2 linked regions of the Rhinolophus ferrumequinum genome follow. The protein of the gene in region 1 binds, or shares a complex with, the protein of each later gene. Links are inferred from orthologs where the notes say so. Each region holds a gene or a part of one and is shown on either strand. Other genes may lie near its edges.

The links.
Region 2: NHP2 (region 1) and DKC1 share a complex: the UniProt entries of both Homo sapiens proteins name them as parts of the H/ACA small nucleolar ribonucleoprotein (H/ACA snoRNP) complex. The link is inferred for Rhinolophus ferrumequinum from reciprocal best matches to the Homo sapiens genes NHP2 and DKC1.

The regions. Positions count from the first base shown.
Region 1 is NC_046307.1:4,926,928-4,939,790, reverse strand, and holds NHP2 (H/ACA ribonucleoprotein complex subunit 2), read right to left. Parts: upstream 4,779-12,863; 5' UTR 4,688-4,778; coding exon 4,528-4,687; intron 4,449-4,527; coding exon 4,379-4,448; intron 2,585-4,378; exon of another isoform or gene 2,457-2,584; intron 2,065-2,456; coding exon 1,959-2,064; intron 1,481-1,958; coding exon 1,355-1,480; 3' UTR 1,106-1,354; downstream 1-1,105. UniProt on the Homo sapiens protein: Required for ribosome biogenesis and telomere maintenance. Part of the H/ACA small nucleolar ribonucleoprotein (H/ACA snoRNP) complex, which catalyzes pseudouridylation of rRNA.
Region 2 is NC_046284.1:5,795,924-5,808,333, reverse strand, and holds the start of DKC1 (H/ACA ribonucleoprotein complex subunit DKC1), read left to right. Parts: upstream 1-7,316; 5' UTR 7,317-7,482; coding exon 7,483-7,498; intron 7,499-8,302; coding exon 8,303-8,370; intron 8,371-8,811; coding exon 8,812-8,898; intron 8,899-10,254; exon of another isoform or gene 10,255-10,410; intron 10,411-10,706; coding exon 10,707-10,798; intron 10,799-11,011; coding exon 11,012-11,196; intron 11,197-11,766; coding exon 11,767-11,831; intron 11,832-12,203; coding exon 12,204-12,330; intron 12,331-12,410.

The sequences.
Region 1 (12,863 bases):
GGGTGAGATGCTGGCCTCTGCAATCCTGCTGTCTCCGTTTATATTTGTCACTGACTTGGCAGCAGCAGACGTCTTCCATCCCTGCCCTCAGCCAGTTCCTACTGCCACGCAGTGCCGTGCCCACTCCTCTCACTGTACAGCCTCACAACTGTATGTATCCATCGCCCACTGTAAATAGTCTGGGTTAGAACTGAATGCTATTGTTTTATAGCTTTCAGCAAGTACATTCACAGGCCTTCTTCCTTGCCTGCCTTTAGCTTCACTGACAAAGAATTACTACCTATCCACTGCACATAGGTAATGGCTTGGCGCCTGTTGCTGGGAGAACGTGGCAGCCAGTGCCCAGTCAGGCAGAACCCAACCTACGTCTCTGGTTGGGTGAAAAAGCTGGGAGATGTCAGTCTCTGGGCAGGGTGCTTTTATATATACATACATAAAATATCATTTCCCGCATATTAGAAATCATTGCAGGGCGGTTGGGAAGATGAAATGACTTGCCCAACAGGGCTCACAGCTTATAAAGGAGAGAGATTGGGGTTTAAAGCAGATCTGACCCTCAGGCCCAAGCTTTTTCCAGTTTATTCCAGGGTGCTTAAAGGCTGGTTGCTGTGTGTACGGAGTCCTGTGCTGGGCCTTTGAGAGCAGGAGGGTACCTTTAGTCTAAAATGTGTGGAGGGTCTGGGTTATCAGGGCCATTATACCAAGCAGAAGAGATGGCCTGGGATTTTGAGTTTAGCTTCATATTCCTATTTAAAATGCCCTGTGTGGGTGGGTAAATTGCTTTTATAAGCTTCTCAGTGGCATTTAAGGCTCATGGGGGAAGAAGAGGAATTGGGGTGTCCTCATAGGGGCTGCAGGCTTCTGCTCAGTGGGGTCTGGGCTCAGCTGCCTTATCCTGCAGCTCCCACCTACTCTGGAAGTGGGAGGTAAAAGCTCAGGGTGGGCAGCAAATAGTCCGTTCTCAGCTTGAGTCTAACACCAGCCTGGTGGCTGGGCACTGGCACTGAACACTCTGTGAGAAAGGCTGCTTCACTCTTTCCTGCCCACCAACTCCTTGGCCCCACCAGCAGCTGCTGCTTGAAAGAACACCCACAGACGCATCACATTTTAGTGTGAGCATTTACTTCCCCCACACCTCGTCTCTGGAAATGAATGCCAGGAAATTCATCAGGAAACAGCACTATGGAGAAGATGATGGCTTTGCCTTCACAAAATAACTGTTGGAGCTTCCTGGGAAAAAACATGTGCTCAAGGGGCTGGGGAGATGCTGAGTGGGCAGCAGGAGGGTAGCCAGCCAGCTCGCCGCCAGACCAGCAGCTTCTGGAGCAGGTGCCCAGGTTGCCGCCCAGGTCCGTCACACCGATTGGGGCAGGGCATGCACCTCCTGCAGGCACTCCTCATAGGCCTCCTGGTACTCCTCGTGCGGCTTGACCATTATCACGCAGGTGGGGCGCTTGGAGCCTGCGGCTGCACCCAGGTCCTGCAAAAGACAGAAGGGCTGTTTGCCAGGAAGTCACAAACCCACCAGTCTAATCTGGCTCACAGATGTGTGCTATTTGGTCATCATTATATTTAAAAACATTTCAAATTGGTTGCCATCAATTAAACTCAGCAAACTTTCAAGTGGTCCAGCAACACTGGGTTTACATTCCCGTGTGGCAGCTGTGAAAAGGCTCTAGCCCAGCAGGGGCTGTCCCCTTCGGCAAGGCCTATGCTTTCCAGGTTCCTGCCATCCCCCCAGTCCCTGTGCTCTAGACCTGGCTCCTGATGTGTGAGGTTCCCAGAACACCCCCTCTGAGCACTGCACCCACCTAACAGGACTAGCATGGCCACAGCCAAGAAGCCGCCCAGGCCCGTCTTAGCTCTAGAGCCTGTACTCTTTCCCACTGGCCTGCTGCCGCAGCTCCTATCCCAGCCCCCTCCAGTGGGGATTAAGGTCAGGCTCATGGGCTCCTTACCGTCTTTGAAGGGATATAGATGTAGGGCAAATTCCGGTCCTCACACATAACTGGGAGATGGCAGTATACCTCAACGGGCAACGTGTCTCCTGCCAAAACCATGATCCTGAAACGGGAGAAACACTGTCATTTCTAGCTTGCTCATTCCCTCTTCAGTCAAAAGTACCACCTGTGGACTGGGCCTTGGGGGGTACAGACATGGGTAAGATGGCCCCTGCCCTCAAGGAGCCCAGTTATTAACGTGGGTCACCCAACCTCTGAAAGTGCGTGCAAATTTGTATTTGGTGACTGTGTTCCTCTGGAGAGATGATCTCTATTTTCTTTTTTATATTTTATTTATTTATTTATTTATTTTTGGAGGAGAAATAATATTTATTTTATTATTATCTATTTTCTTTTTATTTTGTTATTGTGTAGCAAAGGATGAAAAGGGAGAAGACCTAAGGTTAGAGCCACAGAGAGAAAGGCACAATGTTGAATAAGATGTCACAGAACAGTCTCTGTCCCATTAAGTGAAAGTGCCACTGGCACAGCCCCAGGGCAAGTATGCAATCAAGGGTTTTCTTTCAGCATCAGCTACCAAATCCTGGCCCCATTGCCTGGGAGAGGACCTGTGAAAGTGCTAAAAGAAGAATCAGGAGGCCACACTTGAACAGAAAGCTGAATGATGATGAATGTCTGCCAGGCAGCCCTGTGGGTGGGGGTGGGGGTGGGAGTGCAGGGGGCAGAGAAAGCATTTAAGGAGAATCAGAATGGCACCAGACACACAGAGGCTGGCTGATGGCAGCCTGGGATGGCTCTGGAATCCAGGATGGAGACGGGCAGACGAGGCTAGAGAGATTGGCAGGGACCACACACAAAGGCCTTGAGTGCCAGGCTAAGAAGCATGCACTGAGTCCCCAAATTGACAGGGCTTGCCAGATTCCTCAGCTAGGGCTTCTAGCTGGCAAGGTGTTGGCACTCTGGGGCAAGGGCCTCCAGAGCCCTGAAGACAGAAGGCAGAGTCTGTTCTCCAGGGGTGAGATGCAAGCACCACAAACACCAGGAAAGAGCTCTTGGTTCAAACTACTGGGTCTACACTCTCCTAGTTTGCCTTTTGCCTTGTGGGCTCTCCTCTGCAGGCTCCTCTGAGTAGCCTGGTGCTCCTCACACCTGGTCCTTGGCTGCCCTCTCAGTACCTTCTGACCTCATCTGTGGCCGTGGCATCAAGTGCCATCTATGTGCCGACAACTCCCAAATCTATTCTCTCCATCCTGGCCCTCTTCTAAGCTTGCAGCCCATATAACCACCTGACTGTTTGACAGTTTTGCTGGGGAGAGGGGTCACAAGTCTAAGAGGGACCTTGAAAACTTGCCTAAAACCAAACGCGATCTTCCTACACAAAGCCCGTCCCCTCCACTGCTCACTGTTTCAATGAGTGGGCCCTCTGTCTGTTCAGCTAGAACCCATACCTCCTCACTCCATGTCTGAAAATCCTCTCAGATCCATCCACTTTAGTTCTCTCCATCTTCACCATACCCAACCTAATCAAAATCATCCTTCACCTCCTCTAGACTACAGTAACCTCCTATTTCAATTTCCCCATATACTCTTGCACCTTTGATCCTTTCCAAAGTTGCCAGAAAAATCTTCTTAAGTTATAAACATAATTATGTCACTTCCTGGCTTTAACCCTCATTGTTGCCCCAAAGTTCTGAGTACAAAAACTTACGGCTTACAAAGCTCCATGAAAAGGTGGCACTCTGTCCACCCCTCCCCTCTCCTGCCCTGGGACCTATTCTGGCAGAACCCTTCCCCCCGGCACTAATCCCATATATTCAGATCTCAGCTACCCCCACCTATGTCAGGCTCCATTGAGCATCAAGTCCCCCCAGCAATATTTATTTATTGAGCACCTACAAGGTACCAGACACTTCTGGGGATATAGCAGGGAGAGGCTTTATCCTCTTCTCTCAAAGAGCCTATTGTCTGGCCTGACTGGGAGATGGAATAAGAATACAAATGAGTTTCAGATTCTGATAAATGCCAGAAAAGATGTAGGGTAAGGAAATCATTCTCACAAAAGCACTTTTTCTTCATAGTTAACCTATTACAATTTTTTACTTTGATTAAAATCATAGTGTCTGAAAGAGTAGAAACTCAATAAACAGTCGCTGAATGAAGAATGAAGCCGGGTCTACCCGAAGAGTTCGCTTATCCTATTCGCTTCCCCGGAATTCACTTTCCCCGCGGTGTCCCTTTGGGCTGGGTAAGTTAGGTGATGTATAGGTTAGCTGTGTTGAAGAGAATTTACTGACTGCTTGATTATCTTCTAATAGAGTCAGAGCACTTACCCCGATTTTCACCGAGCACCTACTAAATAGTAGGGATACCTTCATTACCGCTTGGAAATGCAAAATCAAGCGGGAGGGGGTTCTTACCCTTTCTCGCCTTTGTTGACAAATTTCTGAACCTCCTTCACCCCGCGCCGAATCTGCTTCTGTTTGACGGCTGCAATGACAGAAGAGTCAGTCCGCGGGCCTCGGCCCGCCACCCGCGCCCCCACGCGCCACCGCGCCGCCCGCCGTACCTTTCTTGATGCATTTGTAGAGCTTCCGCGTGAGGCGGCGAGAAGCCAGGGGCTGCGCGATGGGGTTCAGATTCACCAGCAGCTCGTGGTAAGTACGATCCCCGGAGGACGCCTCCGGCTGAGCCTCCTGCTCATCTGGATCTCGCTTTATTTTGGTCATCGCAGCGGTCGCGGCTACCGACTCCCCAGTAAGCGATGCACGCGGCCCAAGTCTTAGAAATCACTTCCCGGTCACCAGCTCTGGGGAAGCGTGTCAAACAGCACAACCAATTAGGAAGTGAGGGCTCGGACTCAGACCAATTGTTCCTGCTCAGCTTAGGGGCGGGGCTCGGGCTGTCATCCGCGGGCCCCGAAGGAACCGGAGACGTGGGCGGGGCCTGGAGGGAGGTGGGTCCTGGAGGGAGGCGGGATGCTGGGGAGGGACCCGGGCACCAGCTGGGGCTAGTCGGAGTTTGGCGTCACCTGTACGCTCTGGGAGCGGGAGGAGGCGGCGGTACCTGCGGGGCGTGACCACGTCTAAAGGGACAAATCGCTGCGTCTGCGAGCTGGGTGGGAGAATGCGAGGTCCGCCCAGTGCGATTCCAAACCGCGGTAGAATCTGCCCCCTTAGATGGGCAGTGCGCAACCTGAGCTGGTCCTGGTTGGTGTACCCCAGGTGCCAAGGTTCAGGTAAAGCCTGACACTGCTAATCGTTTCCTGCTTTCTTGCACCATTTCTCACACTCTGCTTTCACTTTCCTGCCGAGGGATGGATGGCCACTCAGGGAGCGCCTCGGTCTGGGCCGCTTTTCCCCAGGGAGCCCGAAGATCTCTCCCTCTTCCCGCAGGGATCTGCTCAAATGTTACTCATGGGAGGGGGTCCCTGATGACCACCTTATCTAAAATTGCAGTCCCCGCCGACTTCCCTCCCCCACCCCCTAACCTTTTTCCTCGTGGTTCCCACCGCTGCCTGGCCTCATAACACCGAGGGCATAGTGGTGACAGCTAGCGGGGTGAGGAGGAAAACTGCGTGGACACTGGGAACCGCACTCCGGAGTGGCGTGGGGACAGCTCTGAGTAGGCCCCCATTTTGCAGTTATTGTAGAAGATTAGTGGACAGTGACGCTGGGGAGGAGAGTAGGCCTAGACTGGGGTGGCTCTTGGTATCTCCAACATATTTCTTCCACTGTGTCTAGGAACACTGGCTGGATATTAATTAGATAATTGCTACAAATTAATTGCCTTTGATTATTCAGTGGAAGGCCTGCCATTTCTGTGATGGTGGAACAGCCAGAAAGTGGAACTTCAGAAGTCTGCAAGGTGGCCGTGGGATCACAGGTCAGTTAAGCCAACTTAAAATTTTACCTTTTAACCCTGCAAGCAGTCATTAAATAAACTACTAATAGGTTTTTAAATTTGGTATTTTAATAAGAAAAATCAGGATGCGATTCATCCTAACCTTAGACCCCAACTAATTTCACAAATATAAACACATATCAATTGAACAATGAAAATATGGTATATAAACAATAAAAAATAATTTGAAAGTAAAGTTTGTATGCACAATGTAACCAAAAATTGATCTTTTACATGTTTTCACTTTGGAACTTCTTGAGAAAAGATAGCTCTTCCTACGCTTTAGGACCAGCTTTAGGACTGGGGGTTGTGGTCCGCTTTGTCTGACTGCCCACCCCAAGCCCTCCCCGACTTGTCCCTGCTCCTGGGCCCTGCAGTGGCAGTCCTGGCCCTCCCTGGGAAGCCAAGTGCCTCTGAGCACACAGCTGGCAGGATTCTGCCTCAGGGCGCTTTTCTGTGTTCTCTCTCTGAGTGGTATTCCTGTCAACGTTTTCAGCATTGTGGGACAGATGACAGGTGCCAGGGTCACCGAGGGAAGAAGTGCTGCTAGATGGGTTTATGGGGCACAATGAACTCTGTCCAGAGGAGAATTTCTTCCCCAGAAAACCCAACTCAAGCAATGTGCTTGACTGACCTCACCAAGGCCTCGGTTATAAAGGCCTCTCAGTTCTTATACGGAAGGAGGAAGGAATAACATTTATGTGCCAAGCATATCATATGTAATACTATCTCACCCAGTGCCCACAAGTGCCCACAAGGAATACCTTATTTATTTCCTGAGGCTTATAAAGGTGAATAGCTCTGTCTAGCTCACACAAAGCTGGATTTGAACCCAGGTCTGCTTGTCTCCAAGCCTGTGCTTTGCTCAGGCTCTGTGACTTGACATTCGATATTAGCTCAAAGGTCATGAAACATGGCTGGATAGTGAAAGTGTGGGAACCTTGGCCTGACTAGGTCACAAGTGTCAGCTTTTTGAGCGATAACACAAGGTAGTGCCAAGAACAAATATGTCCTCAGTAAGCTACACCGTCTATTCCTAACACCAGTCTCATAGACGTGTGTCAGATTCATGGTGATTTATGTGACTTTACTGATTGTGTTCATATGGCCACTGGAGCTCACCTGAAACATTGTAGAGTGGGTGAGGACATAATGACCAATAGGCAGTAGACCAGGGATCTAAATGACAAAAGGCTTTGGGCAAGCCATTCAACTCAGTGGGCTTCAGTGCCTAGTCTCTAAAGTGAGAAAGTTAGACCTAGATGGACTAAGGTCTCATCTTTTAAAAAATTTAGGAGGATGATTTTTTTTAAATTGAGCTATAATTCACATACCATACAATTCACCCACTTAAAGTGTACAATTTAGTGGTTTCAGGGTATTCACTGTCACCACAATCAATTTTAGGACATTTGCATCACATCAAAAAGAACCCCTACACCCTTTGGTTATCACCCTCTGACCCCCTCATCCTCCCTAGGCCTAAGAAACCATTACTCTACTTTCTGTCTCTGTAGATATCCGTGTTCTGGACACGTCATAGAAATGCAATCACACACTGTGTGGCCTTTTCTGTCTGGCTTCTCTCACTCAGCATAATGTTTTGGAGGTTCCCATGTGTCGTAGCCTGAATCAGTGCTTCATTATTATATAACAGTCCAAAACCCCGTTTCATCCACTCATCTGCTGATGGTCACTTGGGTTGTTTCCACCTTTTGGCGGTGTGAACAGTGCTGCTGTGAACATTCATGTACACACTTTTGTGTGGGCACGTTTTCCATACATACCCAGAAGAACGGCTTTGGCAAATGGTAACTCCATGTTTACCTTTTTGGGGACCTGCCAAGCTGTTTTTCCAAAGTGTGGCTGCACCATTTTACACTTCCACCAGCAGTGTACAAGGGTTCCAGTTCTCCACATTCTCACCCACACTTGCTGCGATCTGACTTTTTCATTACTGTATAGCAATCCTAGTGGGTGCAAAGTAGTATGTCATTGTGGTTTTGATTTGCATTTCCCTGATAGCTAATGATGCTGAACAACTTTTCATGTGCTTACTGGATGTTTGCATGGTACTGGAAAAATACCTATTCAAATCCTTTGCCCATTTTTTAGTTGAGGACGAGTATTCTGACTTTTTACTTATCAATAAGCTATTAATAGATGCTTACTCTAGGAGCTGAAGTTCAGGTAAGTAGAAGAAAAAATAAAATTATATATAGTTTATGCAATTTATTGGAAATCTATTTTAATTCTTTTGTAGGCCAGTTATGTCAGTATTAGTCAAGATGATGGATGGAAACCTACATGCCCCCCTGGTTTCCTTAGTGGCAATTGGCGTCTTCCCAGAAATGAGACCTGAGTTTTGGGCCAGATTCTAAGGCGAGAGGGACCATCAAGTGGGATTCTGGAAGATGGAAACTTCCTCAAGCACAGCTGCGAATAGTCAGGGTGGCACTTCAGAAAAATGGGCTTCTTTAGGGTCACTGTTTTGGCTTTGGATCTTAAAATGTATTATATAAAAAGTGACAATGTTTATGTTAAGAAAATTTCAGGTAGTATATAACAGTATAAAGCAAAAAGTTAAACATCCTCCTTAAGCGCTATTGCTCCCATTTAAGCTCTCCAGAGGTATTCACTATTAGGTTTTTTTGTGTACATGTGCAAGTATATATATATTTATTTGTTTACATAAATTAAATAGTATAACATATTGTTCTGGCAATTTATGTCCACTTAATATATTTTGGGAAAATTTTGTTTCCACCATAGAGATAAATCTTTCAATGCCTCCATCGTATCGCATCATGTGGATTTCTGCAATTTATTTAGCTGCCCTACTATGGACGTTAGTGTGTTTTTACTATTTTGGATAAGTTTGCAATGAATATTATGCAGTCTCTTTGTTACTTTTGTGAGTGTATCCAGGGATAAATTCCTAACGTTATAATTTTGGTATATGCAGTATTGTCCAATTGTCCTCTAAAAAGGTACGACTTACAGTTACCATAATAATATCTCTCCATGGCCTGCCAAGACTGGGTTTTAGCAACCCTTTTTTTTTACTGGGAGGAGGAGTGGTGATGATCCAATAGGGAGAAATGATGTCTTGTTTTAATTTACATTTCTTTAGTTTGGAGGGAAGCTGGGTATTTCGTATTTTTACAGGTCATTTGTGTTTCTTTTTTCTGTTAACTCCCGTTTTATTCTTGTATAGTATTTCTATAGGGTGTCTCTTACCGCTTTAGAAAAGCTTTTTGTATTTGAAGGAAATTTTTGTAGTGCTTGTGTGGTTTCACTGTTTATATAAAACATTTTTGATCCATCAGGTTTAATGTGAGTGTTAGGAGAAAGGCAGGTCTGCAGGGCTCAAAACCGTGAGCTCGAATCCAGATGGCTAGCCATTGTCCTGCTGCCATTTATTGAATTCTTTCTCTTTTTATCCATTCATTTAAAATGCCTCTGTGTGTACTAGATTCTAATATGTGTTTGGGTCCATTTCCAGCCTCTCTATTCTTTCTTTAGTATTAAATTGTTTTGATGGATGTAGTGCTTGGTTTGTCAAATTTGGTTGTTTTTTTTGTTTGTTTGTTTGTTTTTTACTTTTTAATATCTAATAGGGCTTTGGCAGTTTACCAATTTAAACCAAGTCTAGGGAAAGCATGCTGTGTGGACAGAGGAAGGGAGTCAAACAGACCAGCATTTGATTCCAGATTCCCAGTTTGTTCGCTTTATAGCGTTGGACACATTGTTCCACTTCACCGGCGCTTTGGTTTTACTGTGCTTCTGTTTTTTTCACCTTCCAAATGGGATGACAATTGAATGAGATGCTGCTTCCTGGAAAGGCCCTGCGTGGCGGCATGAGCTGGTTGTGGAGGTTCCTCGTTGAGCCACAGGGCATCACCCTGGGCGTTAGAGGGTCAGGGTGAGGACTCTACAAGACCAAGGGGACATGTCCCTGTCCTCCCCAGTCCTCCAGGTGCAGGAATTCCCTGTCCAGCCAGCACTGAGGCCATTACCAGGGCCGGCCCAGCCTTCTCTCCCATCTGCTCTTCAGAGGGAGAGCTGTCCCTGGAGGTCTGAAGGGAGGCCAAGGTGTGGGTGGGTGGGTCGTGGACAGAGCATGGACGTTTGGCTTGGGGCATCCACACATGTGCATGTGGGTCCCTCACTGTACAGAACAGAATGGGGCAGGTAGAAATAGAAGGGGGAGGTCAGGGGCTCCATCTGTGCTCTTGCCCTGAACCCCTCCAATGTGAGGGGCGGGCCTGCTTCCCTTCTCCTTTCTCTCATGATGATAGATTCATGAGAGTGGGCAGGTGTATTCAATTGTTCAACAATCAGTTATGGGGACCGACTGGTGGCAGTAGTTTCCTAGGGCTGTCCTAATAAAGTCCCGTAAATTAGGGGGCTTAAAACAACACAAATTTATTGTCTCCAATTCTGGAGGCTAGAAGTCCAAAATAAAGGTGTCAGCAGGGCTGTGCTTCCCCTGCAGGCACCAGGAGAGAATCTGGTCCATGCCTTTCTCTTGGCTTCTGGTGTGGCCAGCAATCCCTTGTGCTCCTTGGCTTGTAGACACATCAGTCCGTGCCCCCATTGCCACATGACTTTCTTTCTGTCTTCACATGACGTTCTTTCCTCTTCTTATAAGGACACCAGTCATATTGGATTAGGACCCACCCTAATGACCTCATCTTAACATGATACATCTGTAAGGACCCTATTTCCAAATATGGTCACATCACAGGTACCAGGAGTGAGGACATGAACAGATCTTCTTAGGGGATCCATAACCCTGGGAACTCTGAGGGCATGAGCTGGAACTCCCTGTGTGACTATGGGATCAGGTGACGCTGAGCCAGTCCTGTGGGCCATCTGGACAGGTATGGGTAGTGATAGGTCAGAGGGCTGGACCTGGAGGGCCTTGTGTCCTGCCACTGGGCAGTTTTTAACGTTGGGCATCAGTGCTGACTCTCCCTTCCCCTTGCCCAGCCAGTGACTTGGAGTGGGCAGCTGCATATGGCTCCGATTTCTGGTGGAGATAAAATTAGAAGGGAGGACTGGACTTTTAGAAGTCCCATGGACCCCAGGGACTGCCTAACCCAGACACTTAACAGATGGGAGGCTGAGGCAGTGCCATGAGGCGCTCTGTGTTCTGGTTGGGTACTTTGTGTGGAAGCTGTGGGCCGTGGGCCGTGGGCTGTGGGCTGTGGCTCCAGTTACCGGGGGGTGGGGGAGGCGATGGCCACTGAGTCTGTCATCAGCCCCAGTCCCCAATGAAAGCCTGGGGTAGACTCTCCTTCAGGCCACCAACTCCTACCGAAAATGCAGTTTTCCCAGATGGGTGTTTTGTCTGGGGCTGCCTGGAGGAGGGGGCGGTGGGTACCTGTGCCATTGCTGTTTCAATTCAGACTCTTGCGCCCATGGTCCTGGGGCCTGTGGGGGCCTGCTCGCCTCTGCAGCCCCCTGCGACCTCTCCTGGGTTGCTGCCACCTGCTTCATCTGTTACCCTCTGTCACTGGCTTTCATCTGTCACTGGCTTTGCATGCTCTCAAAACTCAGGAAGTTTCTCCTCTGTTGAAGACTCTCTCCTGTTTTCTTAAGGTTTGGTAAAGGTTGGTGAGGTGTTGGGGTGTGTGTGTGTGTGTGTGTGTGTGTGTGTGTGTGTGTGTTCGCAAAACCTGCCCCCTCTCTAGGGCACCATGCTGCCTCCCACTGTTTAATGGATCCTTGAGTAAATGCTTGATGGGCACATTTTCTGTTCCTGTGCCCAGAAAATCTCTTCCTTGTTCCTAGGCCTCCTGGAATTGACAGTGGTAGGCCTGCCAGACTTCATGCCATAGAGCTAGCTCCGTTCCTTACATAGCTGGTCCCCAGGCAGCAACATTCTGGCGTGCCAGCCACAATTTACAGCTAAGGCCAGGGCAGAGGGTGCCAGCGTGGTGCTCATGGGCTTGAACTCTGGGTGGCCAGAGTTTTTCTGCCAGCAGTGTCTGTGGAGTAGGCAAACTGTCAGTAGAGAGAATGCTGAGGAGGTTTGGGTCTCCACAGTCACCTACTGGACTTGCCATTCATTCCAAAAATGGACTGAGCATCTGGAATGTGTCAAACACTGTGCTAGGCATTGGGGGGGGGCAGTGGTGAACTAGAGAAAGGCCTGGCCTCCCCAGAGGCTTCATATGAACTCTGGTGCTGCTTTCCATGTTGGGGAAGCACTGGGAGCTCTAAGAATATAGAACTGGAACTTGGGAAAGGATCTGCGAAAACCTGCCTCCTACTGAGACTGGCTGGGTGGGGTTGGGGGGGTGCTAGAAATTCCTGGAGGTGAGGAGGGAGCCAGGGCAGGAGGGGCCAAGTAGCAGCGCCCACTTGGATGGCCACCATCAATGCTTATCGCAGCCGTATTCATTGTTGGGGTCCCTCTGTCCCACAACGCAGAGATATCCAGAAGGGTAGAGACTGTCTGTGGATCTCAGTACCTGGCAGGGAGTCAGGGCTCAGAAAACATTTGAAGGAATGAACTTGACGGAGTTTTGTTTAGATCTTGAGGCTACTGGGTGGGGAGCACTGCAGGAGTTTAAGTGGGGCTAACTGGGTAGCTCTGTGCTTTTGGAAGATTATGCAGGCTGCTGTGGGAAAACAGAGAAGTGGACAACACACTTAGTAGCTTCCTCTGGCTGCTGGCTGAAGGGGAGTCAGAGATTTGAAGCTGGTGCTTGAAGATGGAGGAGACCACATACAAAGACCAAAGAGTAGCAGCCAGGAGCTGAGAAGGACCCCTGGCTGACAGATAACAGGGACCCAGTCCTAAAACCATAAGGAACTGAATCCTGCCAACCACAGGAATGAGCTTGGGAGAGGCCCCTATGCACCAGATGAGATCACAGCAGGTTGGAACTTTGATTACAGCCTTGAAAAGCGCTGAGCAGAGAACCCAGCCACGCCACTCTGGACTTCCAACATGCAGACCTGTGAGAAGATAAAGGGATATTGTCTAAG
Region 2 (12,410 bases), on another chromosome or scaffold:
GTTCCTTGTGCCTGGGGCAATGGTGATCCTTAATTCCATTCCTGTTTTAACATCTGGATTCCTTGCCATAACACCTGTTGCCACTTGTAGCTAGAAGGAAGTGTTGTCTTGGAGCCTGTTGTACATTTAAGAATAAACTTTTGTAAAAAAAAAAAAGTAATAATAATCATGCATTGGCTCAACTCTTTAGTTCTTCTCACTCAGCTATTTCAACTTTAGCTGTGAGGTCAGAGGAAACCCAACCCAGAATCCTAAGTGTGTTCTTCAGTCTTTGTTCTATCCCAAATTCTGTACTTCCTGGAATTAAACCAAGTCATTTGGAAAAAAAAAAGTGACTCACCAATGGCAGCAGCTGGATTCACAGCTCAGGTGATTATCCTGAAGCATCCAGACCAAATCAGTGCTGGATACGCACCTGTGCTTGATTGTCACACAGCTCACATTGCTTGCAAATTTGCTGAGCTGAAGGAAAAGATTGATTGCTGCTCTGGGAAAAAGCTGGAAGATGGCCCGAAGTTTTTGAAATCTGGTGATTCTGCCATCATTGATATGATTTCTGGCAAGCCCGTGTGTGTTGAGAGCTTCTCTGACCATCCTCCTCTGGGCCGTTTTGCTGTTTGTGGCATGAGACAGATAGTTGCTGTGGGTGTCATCAAAGCAGTGATCAGGAAAGCAGCTGGAGCTGGCAAGGTCCCCAAGTCTGCCCAGAAAGCTCAGAAGGCTAAATGAGTAGCTTTTATCCCTAAAACCTGTCACTCCAGTCTTAATCAGTAGTGGAAGAATGGTCTCATAACAGTTTGTCTCAATTGGCCATTTAAGTTTAATGGTGAAAGACAAGTTAATGATTACAATGCATTGTAAAACTTTCAGAAGGAAAGGAGAATGTTTTGTAGACCATTTGTTTTTTTGTGTGTTTTTTTTTTGTGCTTCAGTTTTTAAGTTATTAGTTTTTAATGGAAACAACTTGACCAAAAATCTGTCACAGAATTTTGAGACGCATTAAAAGGAAATTTAATGAGAAAAAATAGCATGAAATGTTTTCACAAGTCCAAATCAAACACTTCTCAATTCATTCTACGAGGACGATATTACTCTGATACCAAAATCAGAAAAAGACAGTAAAAAGAAAGAAGGAAAACTACCGACCAATATGCCTCATGAATGGAGACATAAAAATCCTCAGCAAAATACTAGCGAGTAGAATTCATAGATACATTAAAAAAAAAAAATTATACACCATGACCAGTTGAGGTTTATCCCAGAGCGGCAAAGCTCATTCAATGTATGAAAATCAATCAATGCAATCCACCACATTAACAAGCAAAAGAGGAAAAGTCATATAACTATATCAATTGATGCAGAGCAAGCATTTGACAAAACCCAACACCAATTCATGACAAAAACTCTCATAAAACTAGGAATAGAGGGGGAACATCTATAGAAGACATATGACTAACATCATACTTAATGGTGAAAAACTGGACACTTTCCCCCTAAGATTGGGAACAAGGAAAGGATATCCACTCTTACTGCTGTTATTCAACATAGTATTGGAATGTCTAGCCAGTGCACTATGCAAAAAAAAAAATAATAATAATAAAAGGAAAGAAAAGAAACAAAAGTCACACAGATTGGGGAGGAAGAAATAAAACTGTCTCAATTTGCAGATGACATAATTGTCTTCATAGAAAATTCCAAGGAATCTACAGAAAAAAAAAATCCAATAACTAATAAATGAGTTTTACAAGGCTGCAGGATATAAGATCAACATACAAATCTCTACACAATTTCAAGACTTATTATATAGCTACAGTAATCAAGACTGTGTGGTATCGGTAGAGGAATAGACACATAGATAAATGAAATGGAACAGAGAATGCAGAAATAGACTCACATAAATTTGCCAAATTGGGTTTTGAAAAAGGTACAAAAGCATTTCAGTGTAGGAAGCACAGTCCTTTCAACAAATGGTGTTAGAGCAATTGAACTTTCATAGGCAAAACAAAAAACAAAAAAAGTTTAACCAAAACCTCACATCTTTTACAAAAATTAACTCTCAATAGATCATATATGTATATGTAAAATGTAAAACTCTAAAACTTATAGAAGACAACATAGGAAAAAAATATTTGATACCTAGGACCTGGTGATGAGTTCTTAGACATGACACCAAAAGCACAAGCCATAAAAGAAAAAAATTGATAAATTGGACTTCATCAAAATTAAAACTTTTGCTCTACAAAATATCTTGTTAGAAGTGTAGAAAGACAAGCTACAGGCTGGGAGAAAATGTTTGCAAGCCACATATCTGCCAAAGGACTCGTATCAAAAATATATAAAGAACTCTCAAAACTCATTAGTAAAAAAAACAAACACTATTAATCTAATTAGAAAATAGATAAACTACATGGAGAGTCATTTTGCTGAAGAGGATATAGAGGCAGCCAAAAAGCATATGGAAAAATGTTCAATATCATTAGCCATTAGGACAATGTATATTAAAACCACAATGAGATACCAGTACATACTTATCAGAATGGCTAAAATTAAAAAAAAACAACGCAGAATCCTCACATCGATTTCAGGACCCATGGAAGGAAGGAATCATGGCAGAAAGGCCCAAGTGGAAACCCCTGGAGCTCCACCTTCCTACCAAAGTATAAGTCAAAAGAAATATCACATACTTAGGGGAGAATGTCAAAAATTAGTTTCATTATCAAAGACTTGAAAAATGCAGGGAAGGAAATTCCTATCACATCCCCATTTAATTCACCAGTTTGGCCTGCACAGCAGTTAGTTAGGTCTTGGTGAATGTGGCAGTTTTGAACCAGGGCTCCAAAGTTCTTTGACACCCCTCGTGGAGAGGTGAGGTTGATGCCCCTTTCACTTGAACCTGGGTAGGCTTTTGACTGCTTCAACCATACAATACAGCAGAAATGATGCTATGAGACTTCCAAGGCCAAGTCACAAAAGGTTATGCAGTTTTATGCTTTCTCTGCCCTAACACTTGCTTTTGGAACCCTGAGACACCGAGTACAGAGTCTGACAACTCTGAGGCTGCCATGCTGTAAGAAAGTCCAAGCCACATGGAGAGGCCAAGTGTAGAAGGTGCCCCAATCCAGTGAAACCTGGTCTGCCAGCTGAATTCTCAGCACAACTGCAATCTGTCAGCATAACAAAATATTTGTTTAATGATACCAAGTTTTGGGATGGTTTGTTATTCCATTGATAGATGATGCTGAGGAATTCAAAGAGGATACAGTGGGAATGTCTTCTCTCTGCTCCATAATGTCTGATGGCTCGGCTGAGATGACTCAAGAGCCGAGGGTGACTGGAGGGCTGGAGGCTATAATAGTCTGGAAGCTTCCTCACTCACATGCTTGTTGCCTGTTCTAGGATGCCTATTCTGGCTATTTCATATGAATGGAATCATACAATATTTGTCCCTGTGTCTCTGGCTTATTTAATTTAACATGATGTTTTCGAGGTTCCTCCATGCTGTAGCATGTATCAGTACTTTTTTCCTTTTTATGGCTGAGTAATATTCCACTGCATCGATAGACCACATTTTGTTTCTCCATTCAACTGTAGATGAAGATTTGGGTTGTTTCTACTTTTTGGCTACTGTGACTCATGCTGCTAGGAACATTCCTGTACAAGTCCCCAACATCATGTTTGAGTCCCTGTTTTCAAATCTTTTGGGGTATATACACCTAGGAGTAGAATCACTGAGCCATATGGAAACTCTGTTTAACATTCTGAGGAACTGCCAGACTGTTTTCCCCAGCAGCTGCACTGCTGATGCTGGGATGCTGCTACTCATGCCTGACTTTAAGACTTGGTTGGTCAAACAATGCCTAGTGTATGATGTGCAGCTCAGTTCATAAGACCACTTGTATTAGATGGTCAATCAGGAACTAAAGAAGTCAGGAACTTTTCTTCCCAGCAAATTGGTGTGTGTGTGTGTGTATATACGTGTGTGTGTGTGTGTAGGTCTTAGCTTTATTTTTATCCCAATACCAGAGGCCCGAGCTATGATTTTCTAATCAAGTCATAGGAAAGGCTCTGTGTAGCATCCTTACAGGGAATGCCACGTCCAGAAAGACGCCCACCAAGCATTGTGTTTCTTTCTTAGTGACAGTAGGTTTGAGGTATAGCAAATTGCTTCTCTCTTCAGAAGGACCATCTCAATATGCCTCAGCCTACTGGATACCTAGATGTGTTGGGTTCTTGAATTTTCCTGGGACCTATCTCTCATCCTGTGGTGAAATATTTGCTACTTCTTAGCATTAGGCCCAATCAACAAGTCATCAATGAAGCAGACCAGCATGATGTCTTGGGGCACAGTGAGATAAAGTCAGTCCCTGGGGACTTAATTATGATAATGTACCAGAGAATTGAAGGGACAGTGCTGGGGGGGGCCTCCTTTTGACCTTTCTTTGTATACTTGTCTTCAGTCCTTGAGTCAGGAAGCCCCTGTGGGAATTCTTCTATCTGCTTATTGTGTTTATTCCAATTCTGCAATCAGGAACTGGGGAAAGAGCCACAGGGGTGCCCACAGCAAAATAGAGATAGATTAAGACTCCATTTCTGACTAGTGGACTACAGTGGCATTCTATGTCCCCAGGAGAAAGTGGGAGGAAGGTTTAAAATACAGTATATACTTGTAGTGTTATGGGTATCTGGCTTCCTCTTTACTTGAGGGCTCTGAGCCTGTGGACTGATTGGGTCTCGGAATTAGATGAGGGGCCATGATTTTCCATTGTGGTGATTCAAGGCAGGCTGCCATTCACCAGAACTAGAGATTCTGTTGTTGGTTGTAGGGGTTATACAGACCATGGGCTACTATAGGTAGCCTACTAACAGGACACCATGATCAGTTAACCACCCCAAAAGATCCATGGGAAGTAACCATTCTGGTTCCAACTGTCAGTCCTGCTGCCTATCATGATACCCATCCTATTTCCGAGAATTAGTGCCACCACTTGCAATGTTTCCCACCTCCTTTCCCCAACTAGTTTTCCAGAACCTTTACCAAATTTTGTCCAAGTGTTTTGGTGAAAGGAATGTCCTTTGAGCCCTCTCAGGGGATGTCATTAGAGGGTGTGCCAGTGGGATGCACATAAAAATTCCATTCCAACATTCCAACCTCCCTGAGAATTGGGACTGGAGACAACGAGGGGTGGAAGGGGTGGGGCACAAGGAGAATTGGCATTCCATTGCTCAGTAACTGACCAGCTGATTTCATTACAAGATCTCCAAGAAAGGCAGGATCAGCCTCATCAGACAGTGGGGGAGGAGCTGCTTCTGCTGGTAAGGGAAGGTCCATGGGGTTTCTAGGTTCAGAAAACATAGATTCATTCAACAAATTCTTACTGAGCATTTTCTAGGAGCTGGATATATAGCGGTGAACAGAATAGACAAAACTTTCCTGGCTTCATAAAGCTAATATTCTAGTGAAGAGATAAATAATAAGCCAGGTACACTTAAGGAACAGAGAAGAATGTGCCTGGAGTAGTCCTGAATAGCCAAGAGGCAGTGTGGTGTATTAGTTTCCTAGGGCTACCATAACAAATTACCTCAAACTGGGTGGCTTTAAACAACAGAAATTTGTTTTCTCACAGTTCTGCAGGCTGGAAGTCTGAAACCATTCCAATCTCTTCCTCCATCTTCACATGGTCTTTGTCTCTTCTGTGTGTCCTTGTCCTTCTTTTCTAAGAACACTTGTCATGGGATTTTAGGTCCACCTGGGTAATCCAGGACGATTTCCTCTTGAGATACTTAATTACATCTACAAAAACCCTTTCTCCAAATAAGGTCACATTCATAGGGTCTAGAAGTTAGGACATATCTTTTGGGGGGACCACTTTTTACCCCGCTAAACAAGGGAAGCAGAGGAGAGACACGGCCTGAAGGGCTTTGACCAGAGGCATGGCCTGACTTACAGTTTAATGGCTCTTTCCAGCTGCTGTGTTGAGAAGACACTATAGTTGGAAAGAGTAGAAGCAGAGGGAACTGCAGGAAGCCACTGAAAAAAATCTAGGAGAACCATAAGGATGGCATGGACTACCGTTGAAAAACAATCAGGTTCTGCATCTCTTTTGAAAGCAAAGCTGACAGGCTTAGCTAACAGATCTGTTGAGTGTTGGAAAAAGGTGAAGCCCATAGAACCATCAGTGAATACCTCAAACTTATTCAGCCAAACATGTATCAGTGAAGTATTACAAAATAATGGGGCAAGTAGTGAACTACTCATGGATTGGTTGATACTGGGGACTTTGGTTATCTATAAAAAGTCAATTTAGATCATTATTATTATTATCTTGGCATACACCAAAATAAATTCCCGATAGATGAAAAGTTACATGAGGAAAAACTAGTCATCAGTCTTTTTTTTTTTTTTTTGCCACAGTAAAATGAAAGTGCAAAATTTCTATTATTTGGATGGTGGAGGAGGAATGGAAGAAAAGCAGTACCTGTCCTCTTTGTTCAGCAGCAACTCATTAGAAAAGATTATTGACAAACGATTCCATTTAGAATCGCAATAAAGAATCGAATAACTAGGGATCAATCAAGTCCACACTTGAGACGGAAGAGCGAGAAGAGAGAAGAGCAAAGACAGAAGGGAAGAGGGCTTGAACCAGAAGCTGCTACTTCCTGGCTGTCCAATTCCGCAGACATTAGTGGCCTGTGACTATAGAGCACTTGCCAGGGACACCCGTTCGTGGAGTTCAAACAGAAGTGTACTGTAAATGTAAAACACATCTGAAAGACTTGGTACAAAAAAAAAAAAGTAAAATATCCCATTCGTAATGTTGTGTATTGCTTATATGTTGAAATGATATTTCGGATCACAGGGTTAAATAAAATTCGTTATTAAATTTCTTTTCCCCGTGCGGCTGCTGGAAAATTTAAAAATTCACGAGTGGCTCGCACTTTATTCCTATTGGCCAGCGCTGCTCTAGCTGGATGGCAATTGCAAGCAGCAAAGGGCTTTCAACCTCACAGTGGCTTAACGTCTTTATATTTCAATCGGGACTGATCAGACAACAACCTTAAAGGGTTGGCGTGAGGAAGCAACTTGCTATAGTTAACAGCGTCCTCAGCCAGGTGTCCACACCCGGGTTAAACCCAGTAAAGGTAAGTGAACAGCGGCCGGGGCCACGCCCACAGACTATGGGCCGCCAAGGGGAGCTAAGTTTGGGATCCCAGCCGGGGCTGCCAAGGGAGGGATCCAGGCCCAAAGCACTAGCGCACGCGCATGCGCAAGCGCGTCATCCCTGGGGCCGAGCCAGCCAGATTGTAGAGGCGTCCCGCGCGCGCCCCAGATCCGGCCCCTTTCTCCTGACCCCGCCGCACGTCGCGGCACGCACGGGGCGGTGCAGAAGTGGGCGGGGTCTAGCGGCGCGGCCTGAAGGCGGCGGGAGTCTGTAATCCTTCTCTTGGCGGTGGCCCACGCGGCTCGCACGCTGTGTGGGCAACATGGCGGACATGGAAGGTAGGGGACGCTTCCTCGCGTTTGGTAGGGCCGGGTGTCTCCGGGTGTCTCCGGCCGGGGCCAGCTCTGCTTGCTCGGAGGGCCCAGGGAGGTGGACGGCGTCGGGGCCCGACCTCTGCTCGTTCCAGCCGCTGGATTGGCCCGGTCGCCGCCGGGCTTCCTGCCGGCTTTGCTCCTTGGCTTTGGCTCTGCGGGTGAGGGCAAAAAAGCGGGAGGCGCTCGTGATGAGGTGGCGCCGCGAGGCCCGGGCTTTCCGCTGATGGCACAGCCCCTTTAGGGCCCGGGTCGCCATGGAAAGGCGTTGGCCGTGCGGGGGACCCTGCGATGGCAGGAGACCTAGCAGTACCTGTGCCGCCGGTAGCTCAGACGCCACGGTCTGCGCCACACGATGAGGAGAGGAAAGGGTAGTTGGAACGGGCGTGGAAGAAAAGGGGCCGAGGGGCTCCAGCGTGGGCGTAGGTCCAACAGGCAAGAAAGTTCAGGAGGTCACAAACACGAGCGGACAGTCAAGCGATCACTTATGGAACTTTCCGGCCTCGCGGGCCGAGCGCTTCTGCGGCGTGTTTAAGCCCCGCCACGGCCACGTGGTGAACCGATCGGAAGCTGACATGTGCGACTGCTTGCAGTCAGTTACTGAGCCGTGCAACCCACGTATTTGGCCTTACACAGTTTGTTTTCCCCAGTAATTCTATGCCAAACATCCATTTAATACCTGCCCTGGTTTCAGTCTCTATTTTAAACTTTGTTGCCTTTATTTGCGGGGATAACTCCCAAATTGGGATTTGTTTGTTTGTGTGTTTTTAGTGCTTATTTTGCCGAAGAAGCATAAGAAGAAAAAAGGGGTGAAGTCATTACCAGAAGAAGATGTAGCAGTGAGTAGGAATATGTTTTACTTTGTTTTGACTAAAAAAGACCACTTAGACAACAAATTACAGAAAACTTTTCTAAAGGTTTTAAAGAAATTTGGTGGTTGTGTAGAAACTACACAACCCCAGCCAACCTAAGCGTCTCCTATGGGGTAGTTTCCTAAATGGTCTTGGTCTCGCCAACCCCTTTCCCTGCAGTTTCCTCTCTTATCCCACCTGCAGACCCACTATCCCTCTTTCTCTTTAAATAGCTGTATCCATCTTGGGGGCACTTAATTTAACCTTCTGACATCCTGGCTCATTTCTGCTCTTTCCCTTGGAGGGTCTCACTGAAGAGGCGTAGACTACCTTGTTTTCTATTGAAACGGCATAGGCTTCTGTGGTAGTAATGGAATTGTTCAAAATCAGGTGGGAAGTCTAATAGGGTATGTTTCTGTCCCATGGAAGGAAATACAACACGTTGAAGAATTTCTTATCAAACCTGAATCCAAAGTGGCTCAGCTGGACACATCCCAGTGGCCCCTGTTGCTAAAGGTATGTGGTTAAGATTGTACATCACGTGAGTGCTTAATACTGGCATTCTTTGCTAAGGAAATGCCCGGTGATATGGTCTAAAGCAGTGTTCCTCAAAGTGTCTGAGATGAAGGACCAAGTTAGTATTTTTATTTCCAATGCACCCAACACTGTCACAGTATACATTTAAAATGTTGAAATGACATCGAACTGCTCTCAGAGTTTATAAACAATTAGTTCTTCAGTCCCTGTACTTAACGCCACCTTACAGACTCGTGCCAATTTGTGGGCCACGCTTGAAGTAGGACTGCTTTAGTGCTTGAGAAGCATGGGCTTTGAAGCCAGACCAATTTGGGTCAGGCAGTGTGTGAACTTGGGCCAATCATTTAACCTCTTTGAGGCTGTTTGCTCATAATAGCTTCTCTTAGTAAGACAAGCTGAGGGCTGTGGGAGGTGATCCATGAAATGTGTTTAGCCAGTGTCTGGTGTGTAACATGTCCTCTAGAAATTATTGACTGTTGTGTTGGGCTGTAAATAGAGTAGTAATGATTTGATTTACAGGTTTCACAAATGATTTAATGGGCACCAGCTCTGAGATTAGGAGACAAGGTTAAGGGAGACAAAGTTACTGAGAACACCCCTTGACCAAGTATTTTAATAAAACGTGTATATAATGGCAAAAGAATGAGATTTGCTTATATAATTGAACACAGTTGAGTTTCTGCTTGACCAGATGTATCTTCCATTTAGATAGCATCTGCTTTTCTGTTGTAGGCCCTGGGAATATGTCAATGAACCTGGTAGGCAAAGTCCCTATTGTCATGGAACTCAGAATGTAGGGGTGGGTAGGTGATAGTTTAAAAAATAACTGCTCTTTGTGTAAAAAATGATTGCTATTTGTGGTACTACCATGATGAAATGAAACTGGGTGATATGAAAAATGGGCTTCAATTGAGGGGAGCTCCTTCAGACCAGTGGTTGAGCCTCAGAAAGGAGGAGAGTGAAAAGGAGCAGACATGAGAAAAAAAGAGCTAGGAGCTTCTGGAGCAGTAACAAGCTAATTATGTTTGAGAGATATTGTTGCCAGTCCTCAATTAGGCTATCTTTTGTCCCTGAGAAAATCAAAGCTAGTTCATATTTTATTCGTAAAACTGCACAGTGATGCCCAGTCTGCTCTGTGGTACCCCAAGAAGTCTCTATTAGGTCGGTGCAAAAGTAATTGTGGTTTTTGCAATTGTTTTTAACCTTTTAAACTGCAGTTATTTCTGCACCAACCTAATAGAAGAGTGATCAGATTTGCCTTATTTATTTATCCATCTATCCATCCATCCAGAATGTGTTTATTGGGATGGTTCCTCATCCTGATTCAGGGTGCTTTTAGTGCTGCTGCCTTCTGAAGCAGCATCCTTCTGTAAGCCTTGCTTTTCCTCCTGTAGGCTCACAGAAGACAGTGGAGCAGCCTGCACACAAAACTAGTGTTTATACATGGCTAAGGACAGTGATTTTATAGCCTCCTGGGCATTTCACAGCCATGAAGGGGAGTTGGGGTTCTGCCCCAGGTGCTTTTTCTTGCGTTCCTCTTCTCTTCTGGAGAGGATGTTCTCATGGGGAGGTGGTCAGGAAGAAATTTGTCTTTTTCTTACTCGGGTGAATTTTCCAGTATGTAAGCAGATTTAGTCTGTCACAGCAGATAATGAACATATAGGAGCAACATCCAAGTTTGTGTACAGTAACAGTAACCATGTCGCGGTTGGTGGTAGTGCTAACTCTGGTTTTACATATATTAATGGCTTATTAAGTTTATTTTGTGTTGTATCGTTGCTTTCTAGAACTTTGATAAGCTAAATGTAAGGACGACACACTATACACCTCTTCCTTGTGGTTCAAGTCCTCTGAAGAGGGAGATTGGAGATTATATCAGGTAAGTGTTGGATCAAGCACTGTTCAAACTTGAGTTCTGTTCACAATAACCCGTTCACATCAGTTATTCAAGGAGGTAGTGGTATCGTAGAATGGCATTGCCCTAAACCGCATAGAACCTGTACCCATGGTCAACTCTTAATTTTTACTCTTCAAATTTAGTTTTTATTAGAGGATCGGAGCTGATGGCCCAGTAATTTCTTTTCCATTCTAGGACAGGTTTCATTAATCTTGACAAGCCCTCCAACCCCTCTTCCCATGAGGTGGTAGCCTGGATCCGACGGATACTTCGGGTGGAGAAGACAGGACACAGTGGTACTCTAGACCCTAAGGTGACTGGCTGTTTAATCGTGTGCATAGAACGAGCCACTCGCTTGGTAAAATCACAGCAAAGTGCAGGTACGTGGAAGAGGTGGCTAACTTGAGACTGGAAGGCTTTGTGCATTTCCTTTCCCTTCTACTTACGTGTTGGCTCTTGGAAATTATTTCTTTCATAATAAAAAGACCCTAAGCAGGGCTACTCTTGCTTTCTGTTCATCTTCTGTCCTCTGCCGGACCCTGGTTTGCCTTTCTTGGAGTTCCAGGTACTGTGTGCTGTGTGCACACTGAGGTAGACCTGCGTCCGACCAGCTCTTAGTTTATCACTCCAGGCTCCTGAACTCTGTGCTGCCGCTTCGGCCTGAAGTGCCTTTCCCTCATTTTCATCAGGGAATATTCTCCTACTTGACCTTGCGAAGTTTTTTCCAGGCAGGCTCTACACTGGGTACTCCAGCTGTCCCTGTGAGCACACTGAAACTTGAACCCTGATGAGAGAAAGTGTCTTTATTCCTTTCCCATGTCTGTACCATGCAATCTTAAGGAGGTCAAATTGCCTGCTTTTCCTGCTGCACAAAATGGGAGTGATATGAGTATATAAAAATACAGAAAACTCAGTGGCCGCACCTGACTACTCTTTTGTCATTTTTTCAGGCAAAGAGTATGTGGGAATTGTCCGGCTACACAATGCTATTGAAGGGGGGACTCAACTTTTTAGGGTAAGTCTGTAATTGTAGGGAGGGCATCCTTTGGCAGTGTGGATCTCTGAGCCCCTAGACATCTGGAGACAGGTCAGCTTTCCTGGCTGGCGTCTCTTGTGCCCCTTTCAGTGGGCTGCCTTAACCAGCCTGGACAGGTGACTACAAATGGCAGGGGCACTTCCGGCCATGTCCCTTCTGAGGAGAGGGTTCTGATCAGCACTGAGCCATCTCTGTGTGGTTGAAGAAAAGCAAAAAGCATTTTAGATCTTAAATGATTGAAAGAAACCTGTGCATTTCAGTTGTGTGCTTAAACTCCCATAATGTGCCCTTTGATCTTATTTGAGAGTCCATGCAATGAGAGTCTTTATTGTGGTTTGTGCTTATTCTCAGGCCCTAGAAACTTTGACAGGTGCCTTATTCCAGCGACCCCCACTTATTGCTGCAGTAAAGAGGCAACTCCGAGTGCGGACCATCTACGAGAGCAAAATGATCGAGTACGATCCTGAAAGAAGATTAGGTGGGTCATTAGGCCTATGAGGAATTGAATTAACATAGACGGGGCGGTGGTGGTGTAGGAACGCTTCCTTGGAAACTGCT